Drosophila melanogaster: one gene and its partners. The protein of the gene in region 2 interacts with the protein of the main gene of each other region in a pairwise test. Each region holds a gene or a part of one and is shown on either strand. Other genes may lie near its edges.

Region 1 (6,983 bases), on a different chromosome or scaffold from region 2:
CTATAATTTGCGAGTTGGCCGTGAAATTTGGCAAGCCATATGCGAGTTTTGGCTATAAAAACAGTCGCTTGCCAAGAGTTTAGCATCAGTAGCCACAGCAGCTCACTACAAACATCAGCTTAAGTTTTCAATTTTAAATTGTCAATCAATCAATTCAATCTTAGCCATGGCATTCAAGTACGTCCTGTTGTCCTTCTGCGCTCTGGTGGGTGTGGCCAGTGCTGGCTTCCTGGCTCCGGCCACCACCTATGCCGCTGCCTCCATTCCCGTGGTGGCCAAGGTGGCTCAGCCCCACTACGATGCCGTGGGAACCACCCAGCAGAATGTGGTGCGCTCCTTCGGCGGCACTGTGTCCACCTACTCCAAGAACGTGGTTACCCCGTACTCCAGTGTCAGCAAGGTGGACTCCCGCATCACCAACAATGTCTACACTCCCAAGACCCTGTACTCCGCACCTGCTCCAGTGATCACCAAGTCCTTCTACGCTGCTGCTCCTGCTCCCGTCGTGGCTAAGACCGTGTACTCTGCTCCCGTCGCCAAGGCTGTCTATGCCGCTCCAGCTCCAGTCTACGCCGCTCCAGCTCCAGTCGTGGCCAAGACCGTGTACTCTGCTCCCGTCGCCAAGGCTGTCTATGCCGCCCCAGCTCCAGTCTACTCCGCTCCAGCTCCAGTCGTGGCCAAGACCGTGTACTCCGCTCCTGCTCCAGTTTACCACGCTCCTGCTCCTCTGGTGGCTGCTGCTCCCGCCGCCTATGTGAAGTACTCGCCCGCCGCCGTGGTTGCCCACGCCAGCTTCGATGGATTCGGATCCCACTGGGGATACTAGGTCAGGTCATCCCAACCTTTGTTGACACTTTGTTGAATTGTCTGTACGAAATAAAATCCGTTTATAACTGAATCAAGCACGAATTATTATTTCCTGCAATTGCAAAGGTAAAAAGGTTGTTCAAGTAAGCAAAGAATTAAAGTTTAAACATTGTAAAAGGGGTCAGTCATAAATCTAATTTTATGATCATATATTCTGAAGAACTTCCCATATAAAACGATTTAATAACATCAATTTAAAGAAACACTTTCACCCTTTTTGTTTTAGCTCTTAACATATAATTTTTCTAGCGTTTAATGGGGCGTATGTGTGCTAAGAATTGTTGCAACCATTTTAAATCCCCGGAAACCATGGCCACTCACCTCAAAAACCCTTTTCATTCTGTTTTCCTAGTTTTTTTTTTTGCGAGGGCGCAAATATTTAGTGCAAAACTTTCTGTTTGTCTTTGCCGGTTGGGGGGTGCAACAAAAAATTGTTGGCCAAAGTTTAATGAGCCACATGACCCTTTTCGCCTGCGACTTCGTCTTTGTATCCCTTCCCTTTATCTATGAACTTTGCACTGGATATTTCAGCAGCTTGACCAAAGTGTGGTTGCTTTTGCTGCCGTTATTGTTATGGCGGCTAAAAAGTTTACCCAACACCCAAATACAACGCATAAAAAAGGCATTAACGATGTGGGCCGGAGCAAACTATTTAGCCATAAAGTTGGTCGTTCCGGCGGACAATTTCGTATGCATATTTTATGGATTTTCAAATGCTGCAAAATTGTTTTTCACGACTAGAATTTAATGTTGACAACAATAAAATTTATGCGCGGGACGAGGGACACAAAATGAATATATAAACTTGAGCGTTTGTTGAAGGGGGTGGGGCTGGATCGTCCTTGAATATTTTCTGCTTAGCTGCATTTGCATATTGTCCGGATTGGAGTCCAATTCCGTGTCCGAATCCCCAGCTATCCGGGGTATTTGCAATACTTTTTCAATCGCCCGACATGCTTTGTTGATTTCTTTATTGGCTCATCCATATGCATGCCGTTGTTGGACAGGATTCTGGACATTGGATTTGCGACTCAAGTGTTTATCGTTATTGATTGCAGTCCGTGAAATATGACGATAGCCGGCAGCATCCAATTTGTCTCGCCCGCCAGAATGCCAATACTCATGCCCGGTACAATGTGAATTGAAAACCGCACCCAAAATTGCAATTCACATGAAAATCTGCTGCTTAAGTTCCATGCAATGTTGGAAAATAGCCCTAAAGTTCAGAGATGTTCTTTAGGATTGCTTCCCAAATCCGAATAGAACTGCAAGTCACTTTTTTACACTACCAAACCTTTCGGTGACCCGCTCAGACCACATACTTGTGGGTTGGGATTTGCTCCTTAACAGGATAATAAGGAATACCTCAATGCATATGACTAAAACATACTAAAATGGTTTTTAGCGTTAGAATTCGAAACACCCGACCACTACTCACCTGAATTACGAAGGAGATCACATGGATGATGGGCGACGCGGGCTTTATGGAGCGCGTGGAGCAGCCTGATCGGTACAGGTCCTCATCCCTTTCACTGCCATTCTTGTAACAGGATTTTGGGATATTCAGATCGCCCAACTTGTAGTCGTCAGGTCCCAAAACTCCGCAGCACTGGCACTTTTAATAAACGAAGTGGGTAACTTTACTACTTAATATAATATTATTGCGAAACTCTTACGCGACTTTCGTAGAATTCCAAACTCTTGCGATTCATCCATATTCGAAGTACATCTCCAACAATTTGGTACTGTTGTGCAAACAGTATAGTCAGCATCATCTGCAACCATGTTGCCAGGAAGAGTACTGTGGCATACTGTAAAATTTAAATACAATCTTGGCAATCGCTGTGTTTTTAAAAATAATGTTTACAAACAATTACAATGCGTATTTCGCGGCATAAATGCGAATATATGAAGAAAAAACCGACTATCAGCAGCGGCGCCATTAGGGCATTTACGGTTAGAGCGATTATCATGTAGGACCTGAACAAACAATCCCAGCAAGGCATGTGTTCCTTCAGTATGAAATAGTATATGTAAATATCCGCACAGCTGAAAATCTGTGGGTGGGAACACCTTTGTAGTGGTTTTTTCTTCGCTTCCATGATATTACCTACGAAATTGACCAACCACACAAAGTAGATTATGAACTTGCAAATCTGTAGCTTTCCAACGCTGAGTAATCTTTGAAGGCATCCCGTTTCCTCATTATCCACCATATTTTATCCGAAAAATACGAATATATATATTTTTGACCTAAAATGACACTGCTTTCGATGGTATAACTGCTTTAAAAAAAAAAAACAGAATTTTTTCGGTTGACAATTAGCGATACTATGTTTTTCAATACCAATACGATGTCCATTATAATTTGCAAATTCAGCTAGCTTTTGGTATTAACTCCAATTGCTTACAAAAGACAAGATGTTAAGTTCTAAAATCCCAAGTTGACAGATACTTACAATTCATTAATGAAGTTTCCAGTGAGTTTCCGTTTTTGCTCTAATGCAGTTGGTTATTCGACATAGTTAATATCTTAACATTAATCACTGAAAATCACAATGACGGATCTAATGAGGAGGTAATACGATATTTTGCGTTTATGCCAGATAGTATTCATAGTATTCATAGTATTCATTTCAATACCAGTCTAATTGTCTTCGTTGGCAAGGTCATGTAGCCGAAGCCAGTATATTATTATAACGGCCATACATAAGAACTATTCAGTTGTCGGAAAAACTTGGTTAATACATAGTTATATAATTTGAATGTCTGTATAACCTTACCGTAAGGAGCCAGCATATCATAAATATGGGATGGGCTGTCGTCTTGTCAGGATTCAATTCAGTACTTAGACACACGAACAGAATTATCAGTTTCACCACGACGATGGCTACATAAACAAAGATCATCTGAAAATTACATCAAAAATTTAACTCAATGATTTTTAAAACCTCATGCTAACGAACCACTTTCAGAATTCGAATTTTATTACAGATCGCCGCATATATTAAAAGAACCAGAGTCGCCAGTATAACTACGGACAGGGATAGGCTTATAATAAGCATAATATAATGGTATCCCTTTAATAAATTCAATATAGAAACATCTTTGGCTATTTGAGCACCATTAATTCCCTGCCAATTGAATATTGAATTGGTTAATCAATCAAATGAGCATCCAACTTACTGCGGTTATAGGTATTACTAACAAAAGTACAATTTTGAGACCAAGTGTCGGACAAAAGCACATTCTGTCAAGATAGAATTTGAAAATATTTCGTTCGAAGAACTAAAACAAATGTGTGGAAAAAAGTTTAGAATTTTCTGAAAAGTTTACAAGTTTTACAAATCCTTACCACAATCAATACTCTTTATAAGAATTAGTCAGCTTGTCTTGAATTCTCTGTTAGCCGTATATAAAAGAATAGATTAAAGAGCATACAGCAACACTATTTTGAATTAATTAAGATTATTTTATCACCAATCCAATTAAATGAAATACGCACCGTGAATTTCCAGCATAGAAAGAACCAAAAATGTGCGGCAGTATTTTCAATACCTGTTTCTGCGGTTAATACGCAAACGATTACGATAATACCCTTTGCTACACACTTAAAAATCAAGAAAACAAGCGTCTGAAAAAGTTGTACAATATTTTGAATACAATAATTATTTTTGAATAATTCAAAGCTACGCACCACGTTTAAAGCCAATATATGATGACGAATAGCAGCAAAAATGGCAACTAAGAGAACAACTAGTATGATAACACATAGTGCTAGACTTATAGTAAGCATAACATGATGGTGACCCACCAGTTTATCCAGCAAAGTAATGTCCTTCGCTATTTGCGCGCCATTAAATCCCTTAAAAAAATGCGTCAACAGTAATTTGACATGAACGGGTGTCTATTCAACTCACTGCGGCAAGATGTATGAATGCCAAAAGAACGATTTTGAGTACACGAGTTGAGCAAATGCACATTATAGCTCAGATGAAAATAAAAAATTTAACATTTAGATTTTTGCAAATGGTAATCCAATTGACATTGTTCTCAAGTGTTAAATAAACAAATAAATTGGGTTATTTTCATAAATTTATACTTCTTTGCTTCATTCAACGTTCGAAGAGCTTGAAAAAGGACTTTAAGAAATCTGTGGAATTTGCATAGATTTATTCAGCATCGCAGCTTTTGACCGCGTTTGGTAATGGAAAACGGCTTGGGGGCGTGGAAAACTAGAACTAAAACCCGTACACATCCCTGCATGTTGAGCTGCTGTGGAATTTTTTAATCAAACAGTTGCCATTAATTACTGCAAAATTCTCTAGCCACATGACAGACATTTTTTCGACAGCCAGCCGCGCTGGAATGAATGAAAGAAAACAGGATGCGCTGCCGAGTCCTTCTTCGTGTGGGCGCCTGTATTTGTGAGCTAGAATCTGCGAGATGGCTTCAAATGCCATATGGGTGGGGCAGCTGCTGCTGCTGGGTATGGAATGCCAAGCGAACCGACCGCAGACTCGCCACCAAAAGGAGCAGCAACTAAAAATCAAATTAGGTGCAAACGAGCGCCTGTCGGCGGCAGGCGTTCATTTACTTGGCTCAAAAAAAAAAAAAAATGTGGGCGTGTCGCGGTTGCGTTTTCGTAATGAATAATTTATAATGCAAACGGGCGATGGATTTTATTTTCTTGTAAGCTCTTAGTTGAGATTAAAATTTTGCGGTTTGCCGAAAACCGGTGGAGTTAAAGTTCATGCTCCGCATGATTCGCCTGAATCGGCTGATAAATGTGCGTGGGCTGGTGTCATGTGCACGCTCGTGAATTCAATTTGATACACAAACTGATTTATCGACTCCAAAGCAGTGGCAGTAGCAGGAAATTCAAGGCACTTAAAAAATATACATGTAGTTCAAGTGTACTGCAATGTTTGTTCTCAGGTTAGGGGTACCTAAACAGTTTTTTGAATGAATCTTTAAAGTATCCTTCACATTACTAAATCATACTAAAATCATATAAATCTAATTGTATCATTTCTAGCGATACAAAAATAAGTTATTTTTTGTTGAACTATATATTATTATTTTTAAGCCCATACAATTTCTTCCAGTGCTTTGTCTCGACTCAACTTGGCACACGCCATTCATAAGTCAGTCGTCGTCAGTGGGAGAGTGGAGTCGAAAGTCGCAGACGATAAAAAATTACATACACTTGTAACTGGTGTCCTCGGGCCGGAGTCCTTGCCGTTACCACTGCTCCGGAGTTATGTCCTGGCCCCGCCTTTGCCTGTGCTGCAGCCTCTAACAAGGTTAATTTGTTGCGATCGCAGTTCTGTGTCATTTATCTTCGCTGTCAGCGGCAACTTCTCGCATAGAGCGCAGCTCCTGGCATCGTTCTAATTTGAATTTAACAAGCTCACTGGAGGAAAGGATGTGGACAGGGGTCCATCAGAGCATCAGTCTCTAGGGGAGCATTGAAAATTAAAAATTTATTGCCGGGCGTGGTGTCAATCATCGCTGGCATCATTCTCAGTTCAGCTGAGAACGTAATAAAGTATTGGAATAAAAATCACTGGGGATTTGTGCTACTCTATCAAAAGTGAAAATTCATATTTTTAATATAATTTTATGTTAACATTCTTCCAAAAATAGGTTAAGACAAGAGTACTTATAAATATTAAATGCATAAATAATATTTTGAGGCCCTGAAGCCCAAGTCAGGATGCATAAAAAATCTCGCATCCAGCATCCTGCCACACAGTTGCAGGCACACACACACTACATCATCATCAATTTGTGCCTGTGAGCTTCTAGAGCACCCTCATCCATCCTGTTTCCTTTCCACGCCCCTCTGTCCACATGCATCCTTTCAGGACTCCGCACTATCCATTGAACGTTTCAATTTCACTTGTTGGCTTCGATTGTCGCCTGTAGTTCCGAGTTTGGGGTAACAATTGAAAGCGACACTTTTATGGTTTTCAGATTTGTGTGATGTTTCCTCTTTCACCCAATTTTACCACACTCTATTCGGTATGTTTTTTTATTGTCCATCGTAGCACTTTTCCCCTCACTCTGTTACGTGCTTTATTACACGGATGCTGTGTTTTTCAGCTACTATT
Region 2 (4,665 bases):
TCAGTTGTATGTATTTAAACGACATTTCCTTGATATTAAAATGTTATATCTGCTACTGCTTTTTATTTGTGAAATCATTTCCAACCCGGTTTTTTGCTCCATGGCATTACAAAGTGTCCGCGGGGCGGTTTCGGCGCCGTGGCATCCGGTGGTCGGCGACCGGAAATGGCATTAATGCCTAAGCTCGACGCCCTTTGCGCCATTATAATTAAATGCGCTGGCGACTTCTGCACTCCGTCTGAAAAGTGCACCCTGCAAATAATTAGCACGGCTCGGAATCCTGTGAGTAATTAAGGTAAGTCAGCTGTTGCCTCCGTCTCGAGTGGGGCCAAAAAACGGAAAGAGCAAAAAGTGTCGTCCATTGTCAACGGAAATTAAAGTTTAATGGGACAACGTTTTTTTTTTTTAGAATTTCCAAGTGAGAAATAAGCTTGTCCGGCTGTTTTTACGCTGACCAAATGTTCGTAACATTTCAAGCTATTAAACTAGAATTTTACCAACTTGATGGCACACACAAGTGAGAAAACTGTTGTAAAAACATGGAAAATTCTGAGGGAGTCGGAGTTTTTCCAGCAGTGGCATGTGAAAAGCAATTACAGAAGTGATTTAGAAAAATGCAAATGTGAAAATATTTAGAGAACTATTTCCATTGGGAACTGGCATAGTTGAAAATTCGTTGTATTTTTTCTTTTTCAAGTGAGAGTGGAAATAATTTTAATAATTTTGTGTGCCAAACACCGGCGCAGATGCGGTTTGTGACACTTCCTTTAATAAACAACAGCGTTAAATAATTGAATTTCCACTCTCCATCGCTAAGCCGCTATTAATGAATTTTTAATTAGCGTGCTTAATTTAATTAGTTAATTGATAAGGGAATCTTTTTTATGTACTTTGCTTTGTTAATCTCTGTGATGTATGGAGCTTTAATGTGTCACTACAACATTTGTCCTTTATACATCGACAAACAAAATGCGTATTTATTTTGCAGTTAAATGGCTTGAATTCGTGATTCTTTCGTTCACTTTTGTTTGCTTATCTCACACAAAGCCCTTTATCTGGCCACCTTGTTTCGCTCTCTAGATTACGTTCATTTATGGGCCGTAAATAATTAGTTAATTGAACCGGAATTATCGGAAAACGTTAAAAGCACTGTCTAGTCAAAAATAAAACACATGGATTATGGGATTTCTTTCTTTACTTTGAACTTATATTAAATCATGATTTTTTGTTCTTAGCGCCTAATCAGTAAAGCCGCTTCCTTTTTAGTTAAGCTTTGCATTTGCTAGCAGAACACAGTTCGATTGCCACTGTTTGAAAACAGAACGTAGCTCGTAAGTGCGATAACGCTCTAAATTAGTCACGACACGTACATATTATTTCACCGCACTTTTATAGACTGCACCTCCAGCCAAATCATCACAGCGGCTATAGCCACATATATAGCCACGATCATGAAGATCTGCAGGGGACTGGCGGTGAAAACTTGGACCACCAGCATCACGGTTCCCAGAATAAACACCCCGGACAGGAAGCTGACCATCAGTATGGTGGACCAGTTGCGAAACCAGGCGTGCTTTTTATCCGGCGGCGGTACAAAAATCGGTTTCAGCGGGCTGTACTCCTTCTTATACTGAGTCTCGTATCCGCTGGTAAAGTCAACCTCATCGTGGTACGTCCCCGGACCCGAGGTTCCAGCCTTAGTCTCATCCGTGTCCATTTCAAAACGCGTTCTGCTCTCGACTAAAGAGCGATTCGCTGGTCTCCGGGCATTTTCAGCGGTTTTTTCCTTCCCTCTTTTTCATGATTACCAATCAGTTTGGGGTCTGGGTTATTATCGCCACGGCAGAAGGTGGTAATTGAGGCAACAACAAGGCAAACAGTGAACCGTCAAGAGCTGACAATCTTCTTTTTGTTGCTTGTGACTCAGATAAGATAACTATATAAGTCTGAGAAAACCCGTCAAACGAGAGCGGAGAAGAGTCTCAAAATGACAAGAAAATCACATTGAAGTAAGAGATTGCGAAGAGAGATCAATTTGTTCTACGTTATCAATTTATGCTTACTTACGAATCATCAAACCCTATCAACTTTGATAACAATCTATTAAAAGCGATAAATGTTTTACATTCATATATTAGGCATTTCAGTACTTATATACTTCTGGCACTCTGTTTCCGTCTTGAGAGATTCTCTTTTTTGTCAGTTTCCCCGCTTTCAGCTATCTGAAGCTCCTTCTTCAGTTCCGTCGCCGGCTTTAAAGGCTCCTTCTTGCCTTGCCTAACCAAGCGACATTGAGGGCTTTCTTCGCCGTGTTTCGTTCTTTTCGACAAACAGCAGTGCTTTGCGGATCATTTAGCTTGAACAACCCACAATGCCACCAATTTCAGCGTATTTTTTACCTTTAGAGATCATGTTTTTAATCAAATTTCTTTTTTCGACGGTAAAATGCTTGCCGCGACCCATGACTAGAGAACTTTTGGTCTTCGTTTGGAAAAAATTCAATTAAAACCTTTAATACAACTCCTTTTTCAAAATTTGTCGAAAAAAACCCAAAGCAATCACTCTATTATTCAGCAAATACGTGGTCAGTGCTATTTTTGTTACCGCCTCATTTCGCGCACTTTTGCAGCAAGTGCCCAAAAACAAAAAGAACCTTTACATTGAGAGACCATAAATTTCTTGCTCAGAGAGCCAACATATGGTACTTATTATTCATGCAATCTGACTTTAAAAAATATAAACATTTAATAATTATTTTTAGGAAATGAACTTTCCACCTCCAGTAGTGCTATTATTTTAACCGCAGCTGTATATATTTCCGTCTTGAGAGGTTCTCTTTAATGTTGTCTCTTAGTTTCAGTCAAATTCTCTGAAAGCTTTGGTTTTTACTTACAAATACCCTTTCTAGGGTTCTTATGGTGAGTTTACTCCTCTCAGAAATTTTCTTAAATAATTATTTTATTAGTTCATATTTTTTCTTACACTAATTTTAGTTATTTATCTAATGAATGTACTTGTGATCTCAGACTTACTTTACAGATACCTCTTATATAGTTTTACTTAGGACGGTAGTCCCTTAAAAATTTGTCAATATATTATCATTTTTAATGGTGCAAGCTGCATACGATCCGAAAGATTTTAGTACAGTGTGCCTCCGTTCTTGAATTCGATTCCCTTGAATATTTTTTCATGTTTGCAGATGAGTGCCTTCATCCAGTTTATACAGAGCCTTCAAGCTGAAAAGATCAGAGTGCCTCCAAAAAAATGGGGTATAATACTTATTTGAAAGTATTTCAAAAGCATTAAAGTGATAATTTGTTTATTTAAAGTGAAGAAAAAGATGTCTTATTGGATAGAGATAGTTGCACCCTCAACGGAGTGGACCAAGAACAAACCGATGCGATTCATAACGACTCTAATATGGAAATATTAACTGAGGAAGACTCAAGGCCATATACTTTTTTGCAAAACTTTAATTTCGTTGGCTTATGTGTTCTTTATAATTTTTGCATGCTTTTAATTGTTCTGTCCATATACATCTACAAACGATGGAATTAAAAAAGGGATTTTAAAATGATTTTGAGTACGTATCAAGCGCTAGTTAATTTGATTGCATTATGTATCCTGCTTAGCTGGGCTAACTTGTTTGCATTAGAAGAAAATGAAAGCTGCCTTCTGTCCTAAATGTACTTAAACTTCAGTCCACTTTATTGCCACCAAACAATTTAAGTTGTTGACAAAGTCATCAGCATGCATCAGTCAGCGGTTTTTAAAGAAAGTGCAGAGTCGGCGGAAAAAAATATGAGAAAACTCGCAGTTGCCTCTGTGGCATTTTTAGTTCCTTCAGCGCATCAACAAAACTTGTACATCTTGCTCGATGATCTACTCCGGATCTTGTTTACCGATTGTGCAACAATGTGTTCACTTTTAAATAATATCGAAAATCAGACTGTCTACTGTTTGTGTTTTTTTAATGGGAGATTGTTACTTTTATTTTTCGAAAGGTACACTAAATTCACTTTATCATTTCGATGCATTCGAATTAGGCAATTACTTACCCAGTGTGAACTTTTCATATCAACCCGGCTTATAGATAACCCCCTCGAGTTTGGCCCAGTTCTTCGCACCTTGGCCAGGGCTCATTATTCAAAGCTAAGACTCAGATTAAATGGAAAGCGATAGAATGACTGGCGGAGTGAAAAATGCTAAGAAAGAATCAAAAATTCATGAGGCGGTGCGCGCGAATTATAGCGACTTACTTGATGGTTTAAAGGCGCCCTTGCCGCGGCTATTCAGCTTTTTAGCTTGCCTGTTTTGCCCGCCAACATGCGTTTGTTGTTGCAAACTTTTTCCATCAAAAGTTTCGGTTTTCGATACGCCTGCTGCTGGCAGCTACCGATCCCCATTACCCATTCCTTATTCCCCGCTCCCATTTTCCATCCCCCCATCCATTCTGAAATTCCGCTCCAGCTTCAACTGGGAAAAGTGCCACTTCCGCTTTGCGTCAGTGCACACGGCTGCCGAGCACAAAAGTGTGACTGAAGTGGCTGAAACCAGCTCGATTTTCCCAGCCCATTTCCCGCCCACTTTGGTGGCGGCTGCCGAGGCTCAGGTGTTAATTAACTTGGGGGCCGGCACTAAATTTTAAAACTGCAACTTGCCCAA
Region 3 (5,455 bases), on a different chromosome or scaffold from region 2:
GGATGCGAAGGAGGCGGAGGCAGCGGAGGATGAGGACATGGCCCGGAGGATGAGCAGACAAAGCGTTGACAATGGCCCAAACAAAAGAAACACAAAACAGACGAGCAGATAATGGACGTGACGATATCGGGGCAGCAAGGGAGCGGAAACCGCGAGCAATGGCAAAATGTATATACATAGCTTGTATGGTCGGAATAAGCCCCATTGTTTTATGCATGCAAACAAAAACATCCGAAGGAATGGGGAGCACCTTTCGCGAAATGCGAGTGACGCCCTACGGCTGCATCTGCAAGGATACTTCCCGCTTTAGCTTCAAGCTAAAGGGCTGTCAATCCGGCATGGGATACCTTCTGTTGGAGTTCAAAGATATCGACATTTTCCGCCAAATGCAATCAGTCTTAATCATCAATGAGTAGTAGAAAAGTGACACGAACACGCTATTAGCACCTGGTAACCTACGCATGTCTTTCAGCACTACATGGAATAGATACATCTGTATTAACTGCAGTAATGCCAACAGAAAGAGTACTATTGCCTCAAAATACCCGTTTAAAATATAAAAGGTTACATAAAAATAAAAAAGCATTTGTGTGCCTGCAACTGACTAAGTAGACAATCAATCAAAGTTCTAGAAAAATTTAGAAAAGTTAGATTGCAACTGAGGTTTCACTACCTTAAAAAGGGCTCTATAGACGCCCCCATTTGTTGCAATGCATTTAAGCTAAGTGGTTCTTACGACTGCCTTTATGCAAGGCACTTTCTAGATAGAATACATAATACATACATAGAATACATAACTTTCGATGAAAGCAATCTGAAAGTTTCGAAGTACCCTGAGTTTAAATAATTTTAATTTGATGGTTTGCTTTTGGGGTCTTCAATAAAAATTCAACTAAGTTATAAATTACAGAACTAATAGTAGTATGAAACTGCAGCAGTCGAGGTCCTTAGGGAGCACTACAGCTCCGAGTGGGCGTACTCGTCGTGCGTTGAGCTCTTCTCCTTGGGCACGATAAAGAGGCCCTCCGCCGTGGTCCAGCGCGTTCCGTGCTGCGGCTTGTGGACGCCAACGATTTCCATTTGGCCGGAGATGGGTCTGCCATAGGAGCGGCCGGACATGCCCAGGTACATGCCGGTGTCGATGTGGCGCAGCCTAACGTGGGCACTGCGCATCCAGTTCTCGTTGGAGCAGACCACCTCCCAGTGGTCGCCGGTGTCGCCGAGTCCATCCGTTCCGTACGCGGACACCTCCTGCTCGCCTGAGAGCGGCGACGAAAAGTGGTGCGAGTGCAGGTTCTTCTTGGTGGACAGGTGCTCCAGTCGCACGGTGGATCCGCAGGCGATGGGCTCGCCCCTTTCACAAAGCTCGCCGGTCTGCGCCTTGATCACCCAGTGGCTGTTCACGTCCTCCTTCTGCTCCACGCCCGTCACCGACTGCTGCCCGGAACCAGATCCGTACTTGACGTCGTGGGAGTGCAGGCGGAAGGCGTAGTCCGAGTTGAGCAGCTTCAGGATGGAGCCGCAGGTGACCACGTTGGATTCGGTGGCTGTGTTCAGCAGGGTCAAGATAGAATATAAGATAAGCATTAACTATGGCCACGGAAGGTTCAGAAAGAGGGGCGGCCAATCAGAGAAGACCACATAGACGCGACTTTGTTTCAGGTCGCCACTTACCGGCTCCCCTGGAAATGCTGCCTACCAGCGCCAGTCCTGTAAGAAGTAGTATGTGCTGCATCGTGTCCTGTTCTAGTTATCGTATCCTAGTCCGTGGACCTAAGTCAGTCAATCTGTACCGGCAATTACGGTTGAAATCAGCGTTGCACACGCAAACAATTGCTATTTTTGACGGTGCTGGTGTGACCAGGCTGCGGTAAAATCCAAATTATGGACTCACCGAAAAAAATAAACATAATACTATAACAAACTCCATATTGCTGTAACTTATTCCATTAACGGAAAATAGCTTAATGTATATAATAAATGTTGAATAAAGGAAAAATATAATTAGTCTTTTCAGAGAGCAGATTACGAATTTGACGTCACAGATTTATTGATACGCCTAGAAACTTATTTCTTGATTGTTTTAGAATTAAATGAACGTTATATCGTGAAGGAAATAATTAGTTATTAATAATTAGCCTAAAAACTAATTGCACCAAAAGGAACTAGTTCGATGAGCGACAATTTGTTGGTATTTTCTGTGCACCAGACAAGTACGGTCACTCTGCGAAATTGCAAGGGAATTTTCTCCAATAAAAGGCAAGAAAACTGAGGAAAATTGAAATTAAAGAAAAATTAATGGCACACAAGCGCCTGTTCGTCTACGCGGTGCTACTGGTGATATGTTATTTGGTTGGCGTGACATGGGTATGATGACTGGCCACATCCCGTGACTGCCCCACTAATCCGCTTTCATTTCCCCCTCAAACAATCAACAAAGGCTGAGACTGCGGCGCAGACATTCCCAGCGATCGGCACCAACAGCAACAACAACAGCAATGCTCAACCTGCTCCTGTGCCTGCACCTGCAGCTCCAGCGGCTGCAGCTCCACTAGCCAAGCAAGTTTCAGCTCCCACTGCCGCCCCTCCGGCCAAGGTCATCGGCCAGCCTGTGCTCGCTGCTCCAGGCAAAAATTCTTCCAATTCCAGCAGCACAACTGAGTGGTAAGTGGCACTGCACTGGCAGAAATTGCCGCATCTGGAAACTTAAAGTCTAGTCCATTTGAGCAGTTTTAAAGCTGCAATCCCTTTCGTCCCACTGGATTCTACTACTTTAAATTCAATTTACGTTGTTTGCGTAGGCTTCAAAGAATCATAGTTCATGTATTGCACAAATGTATTCACTTTTCAGCTACTAAATGTATAAGGCATCTTGGTATCAATGAGCTTAATTTGTGATTCTGTTAGGTTGGAGTTCTTAACAACCTGCTACACGTTACCATTTCAGCGTCTGTGCCGGTGCCCTGCTGCCCCGTTTGGATGCCAATGGCAAGGAGCTGCCCATATGCGCCGAGTGCAAGTGCTCCCATGTGGCGAGAAATACGACGCTGATAAAGGTGAGTCAATTCGAGTGCTCAAAAGCCGTCCGTACTTAACCAGCTCTCTCCCCCATCCAGGTCGTGGTCATTATTGTGATTTGGATCATCTCCATTTTAGTAATATACATGCTCTTCCTGATGTGCCTGGACCCGTTGCTGAACAAGCGAGTGAAGGCGAACTACCAGGAGCACACCAACGAAGATGTACATAACAAGCTTTCTAGATACAAGGGCATTCAGTATAGCCTCCTAGTTACAGCCCAAGGCGAAGATGATGAAGATGACGATGTTGATGCCGAAGCGGCTCAACTAGTTGGCAATAAAGAAGCACCACTCTTTTGAATAGATTTTAATTTCCACAACCACCTTTGTTTCATTTTGCGTTATAGATTTTGTTGACTTTCTAACCCACACCGTCACTTCATTAAGACAGTAACTAACACGGCCAGATCTTGGATCACCTCGACTAATTCCACATTTTTCCACCCTTTTCTAACCAGGATGAACCAACGCCGCCCCTGCCAGCCGTCAACAACCAGGAGCTCAGTGCCAGAGCCAATGTCCTCAATCGTGTGGGCCACCAGCAGGACAAGTGGAAGCGGCAGGTGCGCGAGCAGAGACGCCACATCTACGACAGGCATACCATGCTAAACTAACAAGGGGTTCGGTTTGCAGCTGGCGGAGATTAGGAGGCGCATGGGCGACTTAAGACACGTATTCCAAGCAGTTATCCTTTGCGAAATTCCCCTTTGGATCAAATTGATTATCTGTATATTTAGCCAGATTTTATGTTAATTAAAATAAACCAAAATATGTTTGTCAGGAGTGTTTGCATATTAATTAATAAGTTGAATGCCGGGAGGAATAACCAACAAATCCACTAAAATAAAACTTTTAATGATAATTGATGGTTATAATTTGGGAAAATAAGGAACGTAAGACCGTAATGGTGAGTCCAAGTTAGATTTGGAAACTCCCTTGGGCTTCTTAGTTTGACGCCTACTTTTTGATTCCATCAGTAGAGATTAACGAAAGAATAACTCGAAGATAGTTTCTATCACACAATAACCATAACTTTAAACGTATTATTTTCAGCCACATTTATTTTTAATAAATCATGTAACCACATATCCTTAGACAAGTGTTTTTTTTTAATGCAAAACCGCCGAGCTAGACCTAAACTAAGTTCATTCAGAATCGGAGGCTCTAGTATCCCTTTATGGTTTCGGCGAATGTCCAGTTTTCGTTAACTTGGAAGGGCCCCTCCACGCCGCATCCGTTGACGCTGCACACGCCCACAGTGTATTGGGAAATATTACGAGTATCGCGGTAGTAAAGCACCTCCATGCATGTGCGGATCTAGAATATAAGAAAATGGTAGGGTAGTTAAATAATGAAGAGTCCCCCCATCAGAGTTCGAAATTCCTTACCAGTTCGGAAGCTTCTACGGCGGTAAAGTCCCTGTCCTTGGGCTTCTTCTCACGGACCAGCGGAACGGCCAAATGGCGGGCAAAACCAGTGGCCACCACGTAGTCCTCGTAGGATCGTCCACGGAGATCCACGTTGGCCAGGTACGGAGTCCCCTCGTTGTCCACGCCGCCGACAACCACGTCAATGTAGAGGGGGTTCATCCGCGAACGACGGTTGTAGAGCACACGGGTCATCCAACTGGCCAAGGACTTGGGCTTCATCTCGATGTTGTCGTCGCAGCACTGGTCCTCGATCATCTTCTGGTCGATGTTGCGCTTGATGGACTGGATGTCAGCGAAGTCGCCGCTCCCGCCGAGCAGGATGTTCTTGTTGACCTTAAAGACGCGCTCAATGTTTTGGTAGCGGGCCATGGATCCGTAAGACACCAGGGTGTCGGCGGCCAGCATCACTCCTGAATCATAGCGAATGCCAAGCACGGAAGTGCCCGTGGTGCTGGAAGCACTGCGGAATAGTAAAAGGAGTGTAAACAAGTGGTACATCTGCATATAAACATATCCGCAGTTCCTACGTGCTGTGCTTGGTTCCATAGGGTCCCATTGTGGTCAGCTCCCGCGGTAGCTGCTGGACCGGCGTCTGTCCGCCCGTGAAGTTGTAGAACTCGCCGGGAGCGGGTCCGTTCTGCCACATGGGCTGCGCTAGGCTGTTGTAGTTGTTCAACATGCTAATTTATTCGGAGACTGGAATAACGCGAGACTTTGAAATGTTTGTCGCTGCCGGAGAATGACGGGCACAAATAAAATCAAGAGTCAGCGCAGTGTGAACAGACTTTAGGCGGGCGGCAATACCAGTATCGGCAACCGGTAGCTAAAAATACCAGACATACCAAAGATGAATCCACTATTAGCTTGGTCACACCGTTTTACATGTGTTAAATTAAATTAATTTGAAGTTTAATTGTGAACTTTTTAACATTTTATTAGATGTTG

What was found. The genes of interacting proteins can lie anywhere in the genome.
Region 1: the proteins of CG15152 (region 2) and CG42661 interact in a two-hybrid assay, tested with the Drosophila melanogaster proteins (one large-scale study listed by BioGRID).
Region 3: the proteins of CG15152 (region 2) and CG1161 interact in a two-hybrid assay, tested with the Drosophila melanogaster proteins (one large-scale study listed by BioGRID).

What each region holds. Positions count from the first base shown.
Region 1 is NT_037436.4:7,463,419-7,470,401, reverse strand, and holds CG42661 (uncharacterized protein), read right to left. Parts: upstream 4,894-6,983; 5' UTR 4,851-4,893; coding exon of another isoform or gene 4,788-4,850; intron 4,733-4,787; coding exon of another isoform or gene 4,565-4,732; intron 4,502-4,564; coding exon of another isoform or gene 4,373-4,501; intron 4,316-4,372; coding exon of another isoform or gene 4,247-4,315; 5' UTR 4,223-4,246; intron 4,156-4,222; 5' UTR 4,117-4,155; coding exon 4,054-4,116; intron 4,002-4,053; coding exon 3,834-4,001; intron 3,777-3,833; coding exon 3,651-3,776; intron 3,584-3,650; coding exon 3,515-3,583; 3' UTR 3,327-3,514; intron 3,274-3,326; 3' UTR 3,215-3,273; intron 3,150-3,214; 3' UTR 3,084-3,149; coding exon of another isoform or gene 2,982-3,083; intron 2,925-2,981; coding exon of another isoform or gene 2,739-2,924; 3' UTR 2,679-2,738; coding exon of another isoform or gene 2,544-2,678; intron 2,483-2,543; coding exon of another isoform or gene 2,306-2,482; intron 2,257-2,305; coding exon of another isoform or gene 2,140-2,256; 3' UTR 1,594-2,139; downstream 1-1,593. Other genes in the region: CG8543 (uncharacterized protein), read left to right, coding at 167-826; Tsp66A (tetraspanin 66A), read right to left, coding at 2,140-2,256, 2,306-2,482, 2,544-2,678, 2,739-2,924, 2,982-3,083; CG42660 (uncharacterized protein), read right to left, coding at 4,247-4,315, 4,373-4,501, 4,565-4,732, 4,788-4,850.
Region 2 is NT_033779.5:18,111,735-18,116,399, reverse strand, and holds CG15152 (uncharacterized protein), read right to left. Parts: upstream 1,854-4,665; 5' UTR 1,718-1,853; coding exon 1,379-1,717; 3' UTR 1,180-1,378; downstream 1-1,179. Other genes in the region: CG44476 (uncharacterized protein), read left to right, coding at 3,265-3,269, 3,330-3,558.
Region 3 is NT_033777.3:5,352,887-5,358,341, forward strand, and holds CG1161 (uncharacterized protein), read left to right. Parts: upstream 1-2,205; 5' UTR 2,206-2,298; coding exon 2,299-2,367; intron 2,368-2,440; coding exon 2,441-2,664; intron 2,665-2,947; coding exon 2,948-3,056; intron 3,057-3,116; coding exon 3,117-3,242; coding exon of another isoform or gene 3,243-3,380; exon of another isoform or gene 3,381-3,538; coding exon 3,539-3,694; 3' UTR 3,695-3,862; downstream 3,863-5,455. Other genes in the region: CG11999 (uncharacterized protein), read right to left, coding at 958-1,547, 1,675-1,735; Prosbeta7 (proteasome beta7 subunit), read right to left, coding at 4,245-4,397, 4,469-4,970, 5,038-5,189.